Linked DNA regions of Coturnix japonica. The protein of the gene in region 2 interacts with the protein of the main gene of each other region in a biochemical or structural test. Links are inferred from orthologs where the notes say so. Each region holds a gene or a part of one and is shown on either strand. Other genes may lie near its edges.

Region 1 (5,906 bases), on a different chromosome or scaffold from region 2:
CCACCCTGACCTTACTATTACCATGTCCCACCCAGTCAGAACCTGCAATCTCAAAGTCAGCAACCTGATTGCATGAGAATAATGCCAGTTTGAAACCTGTTAGTCTTTAATATGTAAGAGAGGGAGAGAATTCACTTTGAGATACCTATAAGTGCAAAGAACGTAAGCTGAAGCCATATATTCACATGAGATTTTAAGTTAACTATCAAAATATACAATGAAAGAGCATTAAAATAGCCAGACTTCATGTTACAATGTTATTTTTAAGAATCACTTTTCAGAGCAGATATAAATCTTAAAAGGAAATTTCAAGTCTTTCCAGGAAATCTAGGATTTGCTTTTGAAACCACTCTGCTTAAGAATTAAATTTCTAAAGTCAATAAATATAGAACCATAAGAGATAGGAGATAGACTTCAGAAGAACACGAACTAGCAAATATTTACGAGAAATATAAAAAGCCACCTGTTGAAATATCATTTAGTTATCAGTGTTTCAAAGCAGCAGCAATGAGGCTGCCTCTTGATTTGACCATGCAACCAAGGAATTTTAGTCATTTTGTAGATAGATGATTATCCAGATACTAAGATCTGGCTTGACATGTGTGTCTGATGGTATTATACACCAAGATTTCTGATTGTGTTTGTGAAAACTAAGGATATGATCTATTTCCCTGGATACCTCTCTCCTACAAGGCAGAGACATCAGAAAATCCCAACAACTGAGCGGGAATTATAGCATGAAAACTAGCAATAGATCATATTGTACCTGCATTGATTGAACCATGTCTTTGGTAAAACGATAAGGATACAAAATATTATGAATTTTCACAGCAAGATTCTCAGCTTGACCACTGGTCACATCAACAGCTACCTGTAAAAAAAAAAAAAAAAAAAAGTGATTTAGATTAATATTTTATAGGCTCAAGCTACCTAGGATAAACATGGGGAAAAAAAAAAAGAAAGAAAAAAGTCAGATTTGGGAAAAAACTTTCTGGAAGTAGCTCTACATATTTTGACAAACCAAGCTTTCCACTCAAACACAGCACTAGTTAGAGATACAGTCTGGCAATCACTCTGTTTCCATCCCCACTTACTTTCCCATCTGGGTATTACCTGCTAACTTCAGTACATTCAGCTAATTATGAATACCTATCAGAAAACCTGATGTTGACTACCAGCCTAGATAAGCTCCCAGAGGAGTGAGTTACAAATACACATCACCCTGAAATGACTCAGAATCTGTCACTGTAACAAATGAACAGAATTGTTCCTTTTCAAAAATTCACCAGCAGGTGGTTTGTGACTCCATCTCCATTGTGTGCAGGTGGAAATGGCTACATACGTAAGTTTACACACTTGCAACACGATGATTAAAGATAATGCTGCCTCATGACAACAAAGGAAGTTTTTCTAAAAGTTCCAACATTGTTTCCCTCTCACATGCTACAGTCCTGCTAGGCTACGAAAACAACTACAGTAAAATAAACCTTTAAGACCCACTGCAGCCCAGAGGAGAAAGATGAGTTGTTTTACTCTGTCCTCAAAGAGGACAGACAATATATTACCATTCTGACATCAAACTTTCTTATTTTAAGACGAACATCTCCGTAAAGAAGACGACAGCTTACAAGAAAGTCTTACTTTTGAAATGACTGAAGGTAAAGGATTAGCCCAATACCTGCCTCTCCAACTTTGAATACATGCATAAAAATGACTTACATATAAACAAGCTATAAAATATAATTGCAAGGCCTGTAGTCTAAAGTATAACTGAATAAATTATACAGAACAGTTACAATACTTGCAGTTTTGGTCCCCATATCAGATAAAATAACTCCTATGTGTTGGTGTGAGATGCAAGATAATGCTTACCTCTGGGCAGCGAACAAAAACAGGATTATCCCATTCTGAAAGCATCGTCTGCAGAGACCCGCCATCACCACCTGGGAAAGAGCACACAGATAATACAGGGACTACCATAAGCTGTCAGCAGAAGGTACATTGGGTACCTCTACCTCACACAAGTATAATTACATTTTTTTTTCCTTTAGTAAAACGGGTGATTGTACAGATAAATAATGGAGCATGAGAGTGGGCTTCTCTATTGTTTGCTTTATCTAGAAGAGACCCTGTGCAGCTTCCTGAGCACACTGCAGCACAATTCTACAGGCCTTGGAAACGAGGAGGGAAAAGAAACAAAAACAAATGAAGGACCTATTTAGCTACCCACTGCTTCGGGACAAAGCCACATACCAAAAAGGTGATTTCATCCATTCTACCACAAAAAGAATGTGTGGATTGAAGCTATTTTTCACATTCCAAGGTTGGAATGAGTACAAAGAAGGGACTAGGTAATTATTCTTTAAGCTACTGACATCATTCAACAAAGAGCTGGGTATTTAATCTGTAAATAAGTACCCCCTAACCTACCTTCAACCCTCAAAGAGGTTTTTTTCCAGTTCTAGATCTGAGGTGACTCACACAGTCCCATTGTTAGCAGACCTTGAGTAATTCTGGGTTCCTGTTGGGACACCTGGGAGAATTCTTTGACTTGTTTTTACAGCAGTACACTGTGTCCTGGAAAGCTGGCCCTACCTCTCTGATCCTGGCTTGCTAGAGTCTTCTCTTTTCCAGGTCTAGGAAGGAAGGGTAGCAAAATCTCACTTCTAAAGGGATGGCACCTGCACTGAAACCCTAAAAACAACATAAATTGACTTCTGCAAATTCATCAGTGTGCAAAAACACAAAAGGCTATACAATTATATTTTCATAAATGAATGCTTGCTTAGCCCTGAGCAAATTAGACTCTTATGTTGATTTGGCAATCTAGCATTAAGAAATAGCAGCTCATATGTAAAAACTGAGAATTATCAGATACATTTGCAGCTGGAAAAGTGGCTTCTGCAAGACTGACATTCTTAAAAACTGGTTATGATTTTAATCACATAAAAATTACTTAAAGAATTAATGCAGTCATAAATGTTTACCATAAGAGGAAAGAGATGGCATACAGACAATCAAAACACTTTTGACTTCCCTCTTTTCAGGTGTGGCAGAGCTGTCAATCCATTACCACCACCATCAGTAGTTACCAGCAGTTATCAGCACCTTGTAAGACTGCAAACTACAAGCCAGTAAGACCACGTGAGCTATCAAAGTTAGTCTAACAACATGTTCCTACCCACCCAGAAATGATTTAATGATATTACAAACCTGCACTGTTATCAAGATTATTAAGTGGCTCAGATTTCCAGCACAGTGGTAAACATGTCACCCTTCCTTTGGTACAATTCAGATTTCTATTCTTTGTGAAATAATAATGAATTAATAAAGTTCCTTTCTACTAAGAAATTAAGGGTGTGCATTCAGGAAATATGGCAGAGTGATAAAGCCAAAAAATAAAAATAAAAGCTGTGTGCTGATAAGCTCAGTAGGAAAAGGTTCTATGAGGTCCTGTGGCCAGTCCATCGACTCCTGACTGCTGGCTTTATCCCATTAAAGCCTGGTGATGGACATACATTGCTCATGAAGTCAGGATTTTCTTGTCCAAAGGCCAGTGAGAATTCAGAGCTCGCAGAGATATTATTACAACTATTAATCTGACAGGTAACATCAGAAAAGGTGCCAAGAATAACTTCTCTACTTCATACATGCAAACCATATACATCTAGAATACTTGAATAATAATTACATTATCATGTTGATGCAGAACATTAGATTACTCAGAAAGTAATTTGATTATGAAAAAAAATTGATAAACTTTCCTGTAACGGTCAACTTACTAAGTTCAGAGATGCCTAAGTCTAACCTGCAAAACCTTACATTTCTCTTGGGCACATGGAGCGCATGGCCTATGACAATCACCTCTCTCTTCTTGCTGCCTACTGTATTTCTAATTCAAGCCAGGATGCCATTGGCCTTCTTGGCCACCTGGGCACACTGCTGGCTCATGTTCAGCCAAGTGTCAACCAACATCCTCGGATCCTTTTCCTCTGCAAAGGATATGGAGGAATTCAGTTTCCTTAGCTTCACACGCACTCCCATGTCAGAAACCATTTTATCAGACTGCCCCTTTGCTGCCATCTGTTGTACAGCAACAACACGTAATGGGATATTGGTGAAAGTTTCAACCTCTTCTACCCTACCATCAACATCCATCTCTGATGTCATGGGCCAGCATAATAAAATGGGAGGAATTAAGTTTCAGAGCAGCCTTTGCATATGACAGCAATTAGATATGAGTGTGATTACAGTAGATGTCATGATGCTTAGCGAAAACTAAGCGCTGACATTTCCTTTCACTATTTTATTAAAAACCATCTTGTAACATCTTAACATTAACATGTTTGTTTTGTCTCCATAGTCACCAACAGTTCTGTTTTCTGCTATGTATAAGGCAGTGGATTTTTCAGTGTGAGTGTCAGGTGCAGCCAGCAAAACATTCCATGCACCTAGCAGAACAAATACTGATTTCCTCATCCCATTTTTATAACAACAACAAATCATCTTACCATTCTCTGAGACAACGTTCACAGCCATTGTTGTTAAGTCTGTAATGCAGGCAGCTGGAAACTCTTCAGGAGGAGTGTTGTAGGTGCTCAGTCCCGTTGCCTTATTGATGTAGACTGTCTTACCCAACAAAGCATCAAAATCTTGCAGCCAGTCTGAACTACGCAAATCATCCCTGGGATCACCCACATTTCCATTGTCTGCAGAGAACGCCAAGTTACTTGGAGAGACCACACAGTGAACGTCAGCATCTTTCACGCTTTGTTTTGATGATTCATTTAACATACTTTCATCTTCACAGATGACCTCAGCGCCATCATTTTTTGCTGGTAAAACACTACTTGCAGAAACTGTGCATTCTCCTTCAGTGCTGCTGAGTGGTGACAGGCTAACAGGGCATTTCATGGACTCTGCTCTCAGATCATCTGATGGTGGGCAAACATCCCCCTTAGAAATGCTGTGACCTTCCCTCATTTCTTCCACTGAGGCTTTATACCTTTGACAAGGGTTATATAAAAGATCATTATTTGAAGATTCAAGATCAAAAGAGTGGTTATCTTTTCTACTTGAATCAGTTTGGAGTTGTTCACCCAGCTGTTGTACTGCTCGGTGATCACTTTTCATTTGGCACAGTTTGGATGATAGGGATCCTGGAGATCTTTGACTACTTGTAGTTTGTTTACTAACCTCTGAGTAATCAGACAATGTCAAAGGACTGCGGCAAAGGGTTCGTTTGTCCAGTGGAGTTTCTCCACTACACAGTAGAACTTCATCTGAAGATCTCAAAACGTGGCTGTTATTATTAGAATCCAAAGTTGGAGTCTCACAAATGCTCAAGTGACCACGGCTGTTATTCTGACTCCTTGAAAAGTCACAGTTTGCTTGTGCATTAGAAACTGGGAGATGAAATTCACTCTGCTCTGGTGATGGTGTTGGTAGTGTACACTTGACACGCCCATAATATCTCCTGAACTTCTCTAATGAACCGAGCTGTGTAGCTAGGCTCAGCTTCTTGCAAGGCTGTGATCTTGGCGCAGCTATTTGTCTTCTAGGGCTTTCTGCAGCTTTACTGTGAGAAATACCTGAAGATGTTGCCAGCGGCAAGTCTGATACATGTGATATTTCATAATGTCTTTTACTGGTGGCAGTGGACGTGTCTCTCCCATCACGTGCTTGACTCGGCAAACTTTTATTCTCTGACCGCTCATTTCCATCGGCACTGCCTACTTCTCTGCTGCAGAAAGGTATATATTCTTTATTCACATTTATGGAAATATACTTAGCATTTAAAGCCTGAACTGGCAAACTCACATTGTGTGAGTATGCTTGGGTATGCTTGGCACTGACAGGGCCAGCTCTGCAGTGCATGTTTAATGCAAGATTTGTTTCTGTTTGTT
Region 2 (6,593 bases):
ATAAGAGATGTAGAAATGTTTCTGATCTGTATCTAAGTATATGGGCTTTTTTTTTTTTTTAATAACCAGATAGAAACAGCATTGTGAATAGCTTTTTTTTTTCTTTCTTTCTATTCCTGCATTGTCAACCATGGTAGCATCTATCTTTATGCAAGCATGTTTTGATGGTGTATCACACAGCACTTTAGGAGAATACAGGAAAAAAAACACCCAACTTAAGCCATGCACTTAATGCCAAACACTTCTATGTGTAATTCTTTCATGCTTGACCTCACATCTATATACTCAGATGAAAGCTAGTTCTTTTGATAGTAATCGTTACCAGTGAAAGCAACAAAAAATATGATTTCTATTAAATACAGGAGTATACTTCAATTACTGGTGAAGTTCCTTTTGACAAAATTCCCGATAGTTGAAATGGAACATACCTTGAGTGTATCTACATTGAAAATTGCTAATGTTAATCATTCTGGAGAAATTCTCCATAGGTATGTGACTTGCAGCTGAATATTGTGTTGTATTAGGTGGGTATGAACTCGGTATGTAACGCAATAGGCTTTCCCGTGCTCAGTAGTGCATATGTATGAGATGAAATAGGAGACCTATATAAGGGACTCACGCAGTCGAATAAACACCATTTTGCCTCTCACCACATTGGTGTAAGGACCAGCGTGTAACTTGGTCGGGGCCATCAAAGCACCTTACTGAGGGACGTGACTTCCAAGGTTATCAGATCAGGTAACAATATAGTGCTGATCATAAGTTTGTTGCTGGACTAAAATTCAGGTTTTGCAGCTTTTAAGAATAAAAATTGCCAACACTTTGAGATGTAATTGAGGGTTAAATTAGCCATGGAAAACAGTCATCTGAAATATTAAATCTTGTCTATTCAGAAGCCCTAAAACTGTATGTCACTATACCCTCCTGCATGCAGTCTTAAACAGAGCTCTGCTTCACAGTAAAATGTAGTTGTGAAGGGGAAGAAGTTGTCTTTGATAATCTCTGTATGTATACTTAAAAAAAAGGTCTAAAACTATTTCAACACTTTTGATCACCAGCTGGTTAGTTTTATCCAACCCATTCATCTTAGAGAAAAGGCACAGTGACTTTCTGGGAAATTCAGAGACTGTTTGCTCAAATATAATGTGTGGGGTTTGTTTTTTTTTTTTAACCTTTAGATTTCCAAAAGCTTTTAGATGATGATTTAAAAAAAAAAAAAAATCAAAATGGTTCCCTTCTAATGGTTCCATTTCCTGGTGAATTATTTGGTCAAAGCCTGGAATTTATTTTTTCAAGATTTGGAATTAAGTTAAGGTTGACTTTTTGTTGAGTATGGGGGGAAATGAGAGCACTGATTATAGTTGTTTTTTGTTTTTTGTTTTTTTAAATTTGTAAAAATAAAGTTAAGAAGAAATAACCTCACATTCTGGGTTGTTTTTGTAAGTGCCACTTTTTTTATTCATAGCTTCTTTAGCCAGTGTGTAGGGATTTGCTACTTTTTCCATGTTATATAGAGATAACGATATGGTTTGTAATTTCTGGTTTAGTATAGACTGAGACATTCTGGGAATTAAAATTTGGATGATACTTCATGAAAGTGTAGAACACTGTGGTCTGAAATCCTGATAATGTTATTGGAACTTTTCTCTGAATGAGGACTGGTCACCTTGATTTAAGATGTAATTAATAAAGATCATGTTATGCAGATTGCAAGTTAAAAATGAGTATGTGTTTGTCCAAACTAAAAGCTTCTAGAATTTCTCCTCCATTCTTTACCTCTTAATTTATTATAAATATTGTGTACACATATAAAAAAAAAAATCAGCTTTTCTTATACAAACAAAAGAACACTTCAGTATGTGATTTTTGTTGCAGAATACATTGTTAAAAATCTCCTGTGTTTTTTGTTTTTTTTAATGCTTCTTTCGATTTATTTTTTTTAAAATTTTTTCCCTGAGTTTATGTACTTGATATGTTGCAGTACTTTACCTCACAGCCTTCAGTTACTGGTCCTTTATTAAAGGCTTTCAGAAGTTTGTACTTTTTTATCTGTGCAGTTCTTTGTATGGAAAGGTCCTGACACTTTCTTCATACTTAAATCTTCATTGCTGTAGTGTGGCTACCGGGCCAGGTTAAAGGGCTACCTGGGAAAAATCTGCAACCATTCTGTTAGCTGCTACAACCACTGTCAAGGGTAGAGACAAGGTGTCATGTTTGTGACAGCCTGGTTAGACAAAGTGTGCGTTATGATTTATGAACATAAGAAATGGGGGTCATGGGGAAGATGTAGCTTTTGTTTCTGTTTTTCTGTCTGTGCAGTTAGATTTCTGTCTGAAGAGAAGGTCTAACGCCATCTTCGAGTTGTTAAAATAGTAGCAGTATCTGAAACTGGAATTCTTCATCCATTGCGGTGAAACTCAGGTTTCTGACACTTGTATTTTTAAAGCTGTGTCTGCTGGAGGTGCTCCCCTGCTCTGACCTGGACACTGGCAGCTGGTGCCTTTCAGTGCTGGCAGCTGCTGTAGCACTGGTTGTCCAGTCAGCTGTAAAACACGGTGCACAAATGATGCTTAAACGCCCGCCGCTGTGTAAGGAACTCGGCAGCCGCCGTAAGGAACTCGGCAGCCGCCGTAAGGAACTCGGCAGCCGCCGTAAGGAACTCGGCAGCCGCCGTAAGGAACGCGGCAGCCGCCGTAAGGAGCACGGCAGCCGCCGTGCCGCCGTAAGGAACGCGGCAGCCGCCGTAAGGAACGCGGCAGCCGCTGTAAGGAACTCCTCAGCCGCTGTAAGGAACGCGGCAGCCGCTGTAAGGAACTCCTCAGCCGCTGTAAGGAACTCCTCAGCCGGCAGCTCGCGGGGAACAACCGAGCGGCGGCTGGGTCGGGGGGGGGGTGTGTGTGACAATCGTGCGCATGCGCGGTGGGCTCAGTTTGCCGCCGCTTTCAGGTGCAGTGTCGGCTGTGCGTGAGGCCGCGATGTCGAACGGCAGCAGCAGGACGGAACCGGGCGGGAGAGGGGGCGCCTCGGCCGCCTCAGGGTCCTACACGGGCCGCTGCTCCTCCGTGTCGGGGCCGGGCGGGCACTACACGCTGGGCCTGCTGCAGACGCCGCGCAGCACCTCGGGCAGCACCGGCGGCCTTTCCAGCGGCGGGGCGGGGCTCACTCCGTTCCGTGCTGCCGGCAGCAGCAGCAGCAAGGAGCCGCGCTCCGGGCGGGGAGGTAGGAGCCGTGTGTCCGTGTGTCCGTGTGTCGGAGCGGGCTGCGCCCTGCGTGTCTGTCCGCGCTGAGCCGGGCCGGAGCTGCGGCAGCCCGTGTGGTCGGCGGGCGGAGCCGGAGCGGCGGCTGTTCGTCCCGGCCGGCATGTTCCGTTTGGTTCGGCTCCTCAGAACAAGGGCGGCGTTACTCACGTTTCTTAAAACAAACGCTGTTTTTGCATGACCTTTTAGATAATTAGCGCATGGAGTCATTTGGCTGATTGAATTCCACCGCAAAGGTTGCTGCCACCACAGGCTGTACCGGATTCAGTTGGTTACAGTTACTTGGCCTAGCTTAGCCTAGTATTGCTGTCCCGGTGCACTCGGAGCCTGTGGTCCTGGCGGTTGCTCACAGTGTGTCCTTGGAGCACAACTAATCACCTGCTCCTGCCGACTTTTTGTCTTGACAGGCTGGAAAATGTGGGTGGTTGGTTTTTGTCTTTGTTCGTTTGTTTTTTATTTCCCCTTCAGTAAAACTACTATAGTAATAAAAATGGGGCACTTGCTGAAATGTCTTCTGAAGTACATACGTTCCTGTTATGTGTAAACTGGGATGACAGTAGTGTGTTTTTCAGTAAGAGGTACGGTCAGCCTTGTATTCAAAACAGGCCAAAACTTTTGATACCCATTTGTTCAGGGCGTAGCTCTGAGCATATTTTGATTATTATTTTTAAAGATGTTGGTGGCTCGGCTCCTCTGGTCTTTGAAATTACTTTTTCCCCACGCATTAAGGCAGGTGCAGTACATTCAAGAGTAATAGCAAAGTCTCTTCTGCCAAAATGCTGAATGAACTTACGCTGAAGTCGAAGTGAATACCAATGTTAACTGTCATCTTTTTGCGTTGTGATGCAGATTTTTCCACTCGTTACAAATAAATAAAATGTGTATCTGAATTAATGCTATTTGTTTTCAAATGTATTACAGTGGAAGATTTGCAAGACCTCTTCTAAACATGGTGCTGTAAATATTCTTGTACTATGTGAAACTGTCATGTAATTGGTTCACTTAAGAAAAATACTTTATTACTTTGTAAATAAATTTTGACGTAATATATAGAACGGAAACAGTTAACATGTCTCTTTATATGTAGTATTTTGAATGTTTCAGGTGCAAAAAATCCATTCTGTACCCTTAAAATTTTTAAAAAGCAGTTATCAAAGCTGGATTAAGGATGTTATGTTTTTACTCATCTCGAGAGCACTTGAGATACGTAAAATACTATTTACCAAATAAATTACTAATTTATTGCATTTAAGAGCTATCTGAAAAAAAAAAATTGTTCTGCCGCATTTAAAAAAATAAGTCAATCTGTGTATCTGCAGAAGAAATGGCAGGTAACAGTTAACTAATATGTTTCAGATTACTGTGTCATTTCTGAGGGTTGAACCTCATAGATTCAAAGGGAGATCACGGTCAAGCAGAGCGTGTTTCTGAGCAGTTCTTTGCTCTTTTAGTGCCCTTTTTTAAAAGGGATGTTCATGTTAAAAAAAATATTATTGTGACCTTTTCAGACTCTGGAACTTCCATAAACAGAAGTTTCAGCTATGGATTTTAAAACAAATGGGAAACTGCAGGATAGAGCTGTCAGTTATAGCATTTTTTTTCATGGATCTGGAACTCATTAGAATATGAAATTATGCATTGTAAAATTACTCCAGTTATATTGTTTCCGTCCAGCAAATTAAGCAGATATTTTTATCACCACTGCAAATAAAGTCATTACAGAAAGCAGCTATCAATACAGGCTGGCTTTCCAAACAAACTCATTATTTCAGGCTTGTCCTACTGTAGAGAAGGCTATTGGGGGTGGATTGCTGAGATTTCTGTACTTCTAGTACAAAACAGAAGGTTTTCTAAGATGCGTATGTGTTGTTTTCAGAATGGAAACTGACTGTTTTTCTTTCCCTTTCCCTCCAGAATCATATCTTGGGGACAAAAGTTCTTGTGCAGAAAATGCTAGTGCAGTGAATTTCACAGATGGTTGTTCTGCACGAGGCCTGAATAAGACATGTGTAGGAAAAATACCCTTTTCTGCTAGTAGGTCTATTGGCAGAAGCCATGCCCCTCTTACAGGATATTCAGGTAAATTGATGTTGCTTAAGGGAAATAGTTCAACATCTGTCTCTAACGTTTTATTAAACATACTTTATTTTTCAACATGCTTATGATGTGACACTGAAAGATAAATCATAATCTTTTTTTTATACCTAAGCAGCCTAGATCCAAGGGAGGCATAATGATAATTCTCTAAACTAGTTACTTATGGACTGATTCTTAAAAACATGTATTTCAACTTAAAAAAAATCCTGATAAGACTAGAAATTGATTCTCTACTTGAAACTGAATTGAATTCTTTGATTGAAAAAGTGAGGTAGCATGAATTTTGTAATTTCTTACAGCTGTTGTGATCCTCTGTTCTCTATTTGACTACTCTAGGAATTGCAGTGACTATAGCTTTGTAACTCACGGAGCAGGTTTCTCTAACCTTTATGTGTTTTAGCAGTTAAAACCGTATTTTTAATCTTTACTTTTAGTCTACAAGTATACATGTACATGTTTCCATATGTCTGTGTGGTTATTTGTACTTGCTGTGTTGTATGTAAAACTTTGGTCACAGTTTCACTGGTCTGAACTGAAGACCAGCAATACCACTTTATGAAGAACATTGGTTGATCATTGTATTTTTTATTTTTTTTTTTGTGTATGTAACAAACTAAACAACTCACCATCATCAAAATCAAAATTGTCTAACTACTGTAACCTAATTTAAGATCATTATCACCTCTTAGTTGCAGTTTAAAAAAAAAAAAAGTAATCAGCTACTGATAGGGTGGGGGGAAGTCATGGGTAGATCATTCAGAATAACAGTTATGTTTTCAAAGCAGGCCTTAGATGAAACTATGCGTGAATGCCATTGCTGGCATCTATCGAACATAGGGTGAATGAAGGTTCAGACTCAGCTGTGTGCAGTATCAAAGACTACATTTTCTCAACGCTTAGGTAGCAATTAGTTGGACATCAAGTTGTCACTTCCTAGATAAATTTTTGATGAGGGTTGCTTTTTGAGATTTCTGATGGGGTTAGTTTTGGTCTTGGGGATACAAATTGATGGTATCCATAAGAAAATTGCAAGTTTGTTTTATTATGCCTTCTTGAGAGAACAGTTCTGTTCTGAGGACACTTGTATTCCAATCTTATTTGAGAGCTGATTCCACTTTTGAGGAAAGTAGTGATGGGAAACAATATAAATAATTACATGAAACAAACACAGGTTATTGGTATTTCAGGTGTTGTATATGCTGTCAAAATCTGATACTGTGTAAAAGGAAGTATCTTTCT
Region 3 (4,888 bases), on a different chromosome or scaffold from region 2:
ATGAACGAAGGAGTTGCTTATGCTATAGCATCACAGTTTTTACATCTTTGTACCCAGCTGAAGAGGTAAGACTTTAAAATACAGGTATATTAGAAGGAATTATTAGTACATCTACTGTGTAAAAAGTAGTGCTATACTGTACTGTAGGTTAATGCTCTGGATATTCTCATTACAGTAAAATCATAGCCTGTTTTATTTTGTGAAACTATGCAAAGCCAAAAGATGGAATTACTTGTTCAAAATTACAGAATTAGAACTATAGTGTAGATTACATAGTTAGAAATGCTGTCACCGTATTTATATGCTGCTTGTGTGGATATTGTTTGGTTCCCCTTTGGGAGAAAATAAGCAAATAAACAGGGGAATTCATATGTTGATTATGCATGATTTGCAGGCTAACATTTCTCTTGATTGAATATGTTTTGGTGAATTACACACTAGTGATGAAATCATAGTATCATATTCTCTTGCCGGTATCTATTTCTTGCCCATTTATTAGCTTTTTTGACAAGAAAAAGTAGACAAACATAGAAATAAGTTACAATATCTATGAGAAATATAGAGAAGCAATAATAGGTTGTCTAGCTTTTTATTTCACACTAACTTAACAGTAAATTATTATTAACATAAGATATATCTCCATAAGATTTCTTTGCTAGCATTGCAATAAAATGTTTTATGTAACCTTTCAACATTGGCCAGGAAAGTAATTTTCAGAAGAAATATTTTCTAAAACTATGTACATAGTATAATTATTGTCAGTTGATTTAGCAAGCATTAAAGTACTTTATTCATTAGAAAAAAAAACCTATAAAATACGAAAGGTGAAGATCTTAATCAAGGAATATTCTGAAATCAGCCGGAAGATGAAATGAGTTCTGAGATACATGAAGTAGCTTCAGGGACATGACATAATGCAGAGTTGCTCTGAAGCAAAATAAGGACTTGTCAGCCAGTTGTAGGTGGTGTGTTGTAGCTCATAAAATCGTAGGCTGAAGCTTTTGCTTGTTATAACAGCTGCTTTTAAAAATATTCTAAAAATCCACAGCTTTTGCAGAATATCAGCTGCTCATCAATGTAACTGTTTTGTTAAAATATCTCAGATCTTCAAGGTGCTTTTTTGCCAGTCTGTTGTTTCTTTCTTTCTTTCTTTCTTTCTTGTTTCTTTAAAGCATTCATCTACCTTGCATGAAGTATTGGCCAGGATACATATTTTCTGTGTTCTGATATTCACAGCTACTGACAGAACCGGGTCGGTGTCATTTCGAATAATCTTCCTTGGTCCTCCATAATACTGGATAATACACGTAGTATTCTATAGATTTAGAAAGATATTATGTATTGAAAATCTGTAAATTAACAGGAAGCATCGTCAGTCAATCCACTGGCATTAGCATCAGTCTTCTCTATCATTTTGAGTTTAATTGTGAAACATCTGAAGAAAGCAGCTTTCCACTTTGAAGTCGCAGCATTAAGCTGAACATAGACAAGATGATAAATGTAAAAACAAAACAAAAAGCACAACCTTGGAAATAGAAATTAATAAAGGATAACATTTCAGATAAAGTGGATAAGGGAGGAGATGTCTGAGTGTCCACTCAGCTTCTCAGGTTACCTTCTTATCTGCTCAGAAGTGGAGAAACTCATTCTTTACATTTAGTTTGACAGTCCTGAAATTAAATGTGCCATGGAAAACTTCCCCAGGTTAAGCAGGCACAGTGTTTCTTTGGGTGTTCTCTGGAACGAGACAAAGGGAGATAACTGACTTGCACATGCTTAGTTGTTTCACAGCTGACTTGGGTGATAATACTGGGTTAGTATCATTATCTTCTGTACAAAGAACAACTGAACACAGTGAAAGAAGTAACTTGAGTTTTGCACTTAATAATAACCTTTCTATTCCTCCTTCCCTCACTATCCTGCTACATTGCTGTAGGTCAGTCACGACCCCTCTGTTTTTCATTCATCTGCTATTTATTTCAGGGAGTGTTGTGAGGCTCACCTGATAAATGCTGCATAACATCCAGAAATCCTTTAGTACGTATTGCTGTCTGAACTGCAAATATGATGAAATGAATTTTATTAGCAGATGACTGACAGTTACACTGCTCAGATGGCATCTGGTTAATTAAAAAGCTGTATATCCTTAGTCCAGGCATAGGCTGACAAGAAAGTATTCAAAAAATATAACTTAAGAATATTTAACATACGATATTCCTCTATGCAGCACATATTTAGAATGCAGTATGTGTATTTAATAAAGGATAATATATTTGTGAGAAAAATCTGTAAACAGCACTAGTAAGTATAGTCCATGGCTGTTCACTGCTACCATTCAACTTCAGCGGTAATATCCCCAAGATGTCAGATATTATTTTGCAGGTAGTGTTATTATGATCACACTGAAAGCAGCAGTCATTTACTCTTGTATTTTTCATGTAATGTATGTTAAACATTTGTCACTATCCTAGTTTCTTTAGAGATAACAAAAGTTACTTATTTTGTACTATCATAAATGCACACCATAAAAGGAGGAAATTCTGCACTGAGCCTGCACTGAACTGTTTCTGATTTCAGATCTTTTTGGTGGACACTCACATTTACCTCACTGTCTTCAGTGAAATATACCAAACAGATAAAATGTTTAGTACCAGTAATTATGAATATAACTATTTTTTTTCCTTATATAATTTTTCTCTCTTGAAATAGTGGTAGTGGAATCTTGTCTTCTTGAAAACAAGTAGAGCAGAAGTGAGATCCAATATATCTGCTGATTATCTCTGATTAGCAATATTGTTAGCAGTTACTGCAAGCTTTGGCAGTCAATCAGATATCTAATGTCTTTCTGTCTTACTTAGATAATGAATCTAAGGCATTTATGCTACTGCAGGGAAGGTTATTACTTTTGTGGTAACTGTATATCATGCCTTCTCTTTATTCACTTGTTCGTGAATATGTGTTGCATACATACTCAGAAATAACAGAAAAATTATTCTCAATAAAACCAAAGTGTTTCTCTTTTAGTCAAACCCCACTGTTTCTGACTTCCATTCTTTTTATATCAACTCTTGGAGTTTCTCTGCCATTATGGCCAGAAATGCAGCTTTATTAAATGTCACAGAGCTCATTAGATCCTTCTGTATTTCCATTAATCAGAGTCTACTTTAGTGGTTTGTATTGTAGCAACGTTATTTGCTGATCTGGGAGTCCAAGGCACATACTTACTGTGATCGTTTGGTGATGATCCTAAAATGACCGAAATGATTACTTCCACTGTACACAAAACAATAAACACTTTGTTTTTATAGTCTCACGAGACCAGCAGAACTATTTCGATTTTTCTACAGTATTTTTCCAGTCTGAGAATCCAACAATAGGGGCTCAAAATGCACGATCCAACAGCTGGAAGAGGTTCTTGAATTCTCTCTCCTCTTTCAGTCTTCCTGCTTTCATACCATGCACCATACAGAGATATATAGCTTCCATACTGATTTTAGACAGGAATAAGAAATAGCATGCACTATAGACAGTTTTAAAAAGTAAAATGTAGTGTGATACATTAGTCATAGTCATTGTTGAAATTACCAAACCACCCTACTGAACATGGCAGATAACTTGTAATATATGCCTATAGACATAGCCATGCTACAGAATTGAGGCTGCAGAAGGCAACACCTCTTTATGCATGAACTCTTCTAAGTTCACATTAGGATCATCAAGATCTAGGCTAAGAAACCTTTCAACAACAGCCTTGCATTTTTCCATCTGGTCTCCTTTGGCAGGATGATCAATACGTTTGATAGCTTTTCCATTGCGAATCAGTTCTGACACTTCCACTCCTCTTTCAATAATTTTGGCTGGCATTCCAGCTAGTGCAGCAATGTTGGCAGCATGACTAACAGTGGATACTCCTTGTTTGATCTGATAGAAAAACACCAACTCATCTCCATCTTGGTGGGTCTCCATGGCCAGATATTCCAGAAGAGGTGTGTCAGGCAAGAGTTCCAGCTGCATTAAGCTGTGAAAATTAGTGGAGACAAAGACCTGCGGACACTGGGTTCCTTGATTGATCCAATACTTCAGCACAGCAGCCAGAAGGGCCAGGCCATCTAGTGTGTTGGTTCCCTTGCCAAACTCATCAATAAGTACCAATGACCTCTCTGTAGCGTTGTTTACTGCCTTGGCAACCTGGTTAAGATCAATCATGAATGTGGAGAGTCCTACAGAAACTGATTCCCTAGTGTGGATTCTTGTGTAAATCCCATCAATTGCTCCTATCTCTGCCTCTGCTGCAGGCACGTAACTGCCGATTAGAGCCATAAATATTATAAGACCTACTTGCTTTAGGTAGATGCTCTTTCCAGACGAGTTGGGCCCAGTGATTATCTTTATTCGTCTGGTAGCCTCACCACTGTTCACAGGATTAGCCACAAATGTCTTTGCACATAGTTCCATCAGTGGATGTCTTCCGTCCTTGATGTGGAAGCCATGGCGCTGTGTAAAGCGTGGCCGGCAGTAAGAGTTCTCCCGGGCCATCACTGCCAAAGCCAACAGCACATCTAGGTGTGCAGTATACTCGATCACGCTGTTAAGCACTTCAGACCTCTCCAAGATCTTTGTCTGCAGCTGGTGCATAATAAGTGTTTCCTGGTCTCTTATCTCACAGTGCAAGTCACCCAGCAGGCTGTCTAGCTCCTTAGTTCTAGCACTTCTGTAGTGCAGTTTATCCTCGGACAAGAACATGAAGTCCAAGCCTTCAATTTCAAAGTCGCTTTTATCCACCATACTTGGTAGCCGTGGAATGGAGAGAAGGAACCCAATCAAAGGAATGTAGATCACACAACAGGAAGGAATATGGCTGTCCAACGTTTCCAGTTCTTTTTGTGCC

The links.
Region 1: the proteins of MSH4 (region 2) and MLH3 form a complex in vitro, tested with the Homo sapiens proteins (2 studies listed by BioGRID). The link is inferred for Coturnix japonica from reciprocal best matches to the Homo sapiens genes MSH4 and MLH3.
Region 3: the proteins of MSH4 (region 2) and MSH5 form a complex in vitro, tested with the Homo sapiens proteins (2 studies listed by BioGRID). The link is inferred for Coturnix japonica from reciprocal best matches to the Homo sapiens genes MSH4 and MSH5.

What each region holds. Positions count from the first base shown.
Region 1 is NC_029520.1:34,599,072-34,604,977, forward strand, and holds part of MLH3 (DNA mismatch repair protein Mlh3), read right to left. Parts: coding exon 4,512-5,906; intron 2,695-4,511; coding exon 2,596-2,694; intron 1,944-2,595; coding exon 1,873-1,943; intron 872-1,872; coding exon 767-871; intron 1-766. UniProt on the Homo sapiens protein: Probably involved in the repair of mismatches in DNA.
Region 2 is NC_029523.1:26,865,078-26,871,670, forward strand, and holds the start of MSH4 (mutS protein homolog 4), read left to right. Parts: upstream 1-2,917; 5' UTR 2,918-2,975; coding exon 2,976-3,219; intron 3,220-5,171; coding exon 5,172-5,336; intron 5,337-6,593. UniProt on the Homo sapiens protein: Involved in meiotic recombination. Required for reciprocal recombination and proper segregation of homologous chromosomes at meiosis.
Region 3 is NC_029518.1:52,073,152-52,078,039, reverse strand, and holds the end of MSH5 (mutS protein homolog 5), read right to left. Parts: coding exon 3,646-4,888; 3' UTR 3,226-3,645; intron 2,057-3,225; 3' UTR 2,003-2,056; intron 1,738-2,002; 3' UTR 1,616-1,737; exon of another isoform or gene 1,316-1,615; 3' UTR 1,006-1,315; downstream 1-1,005.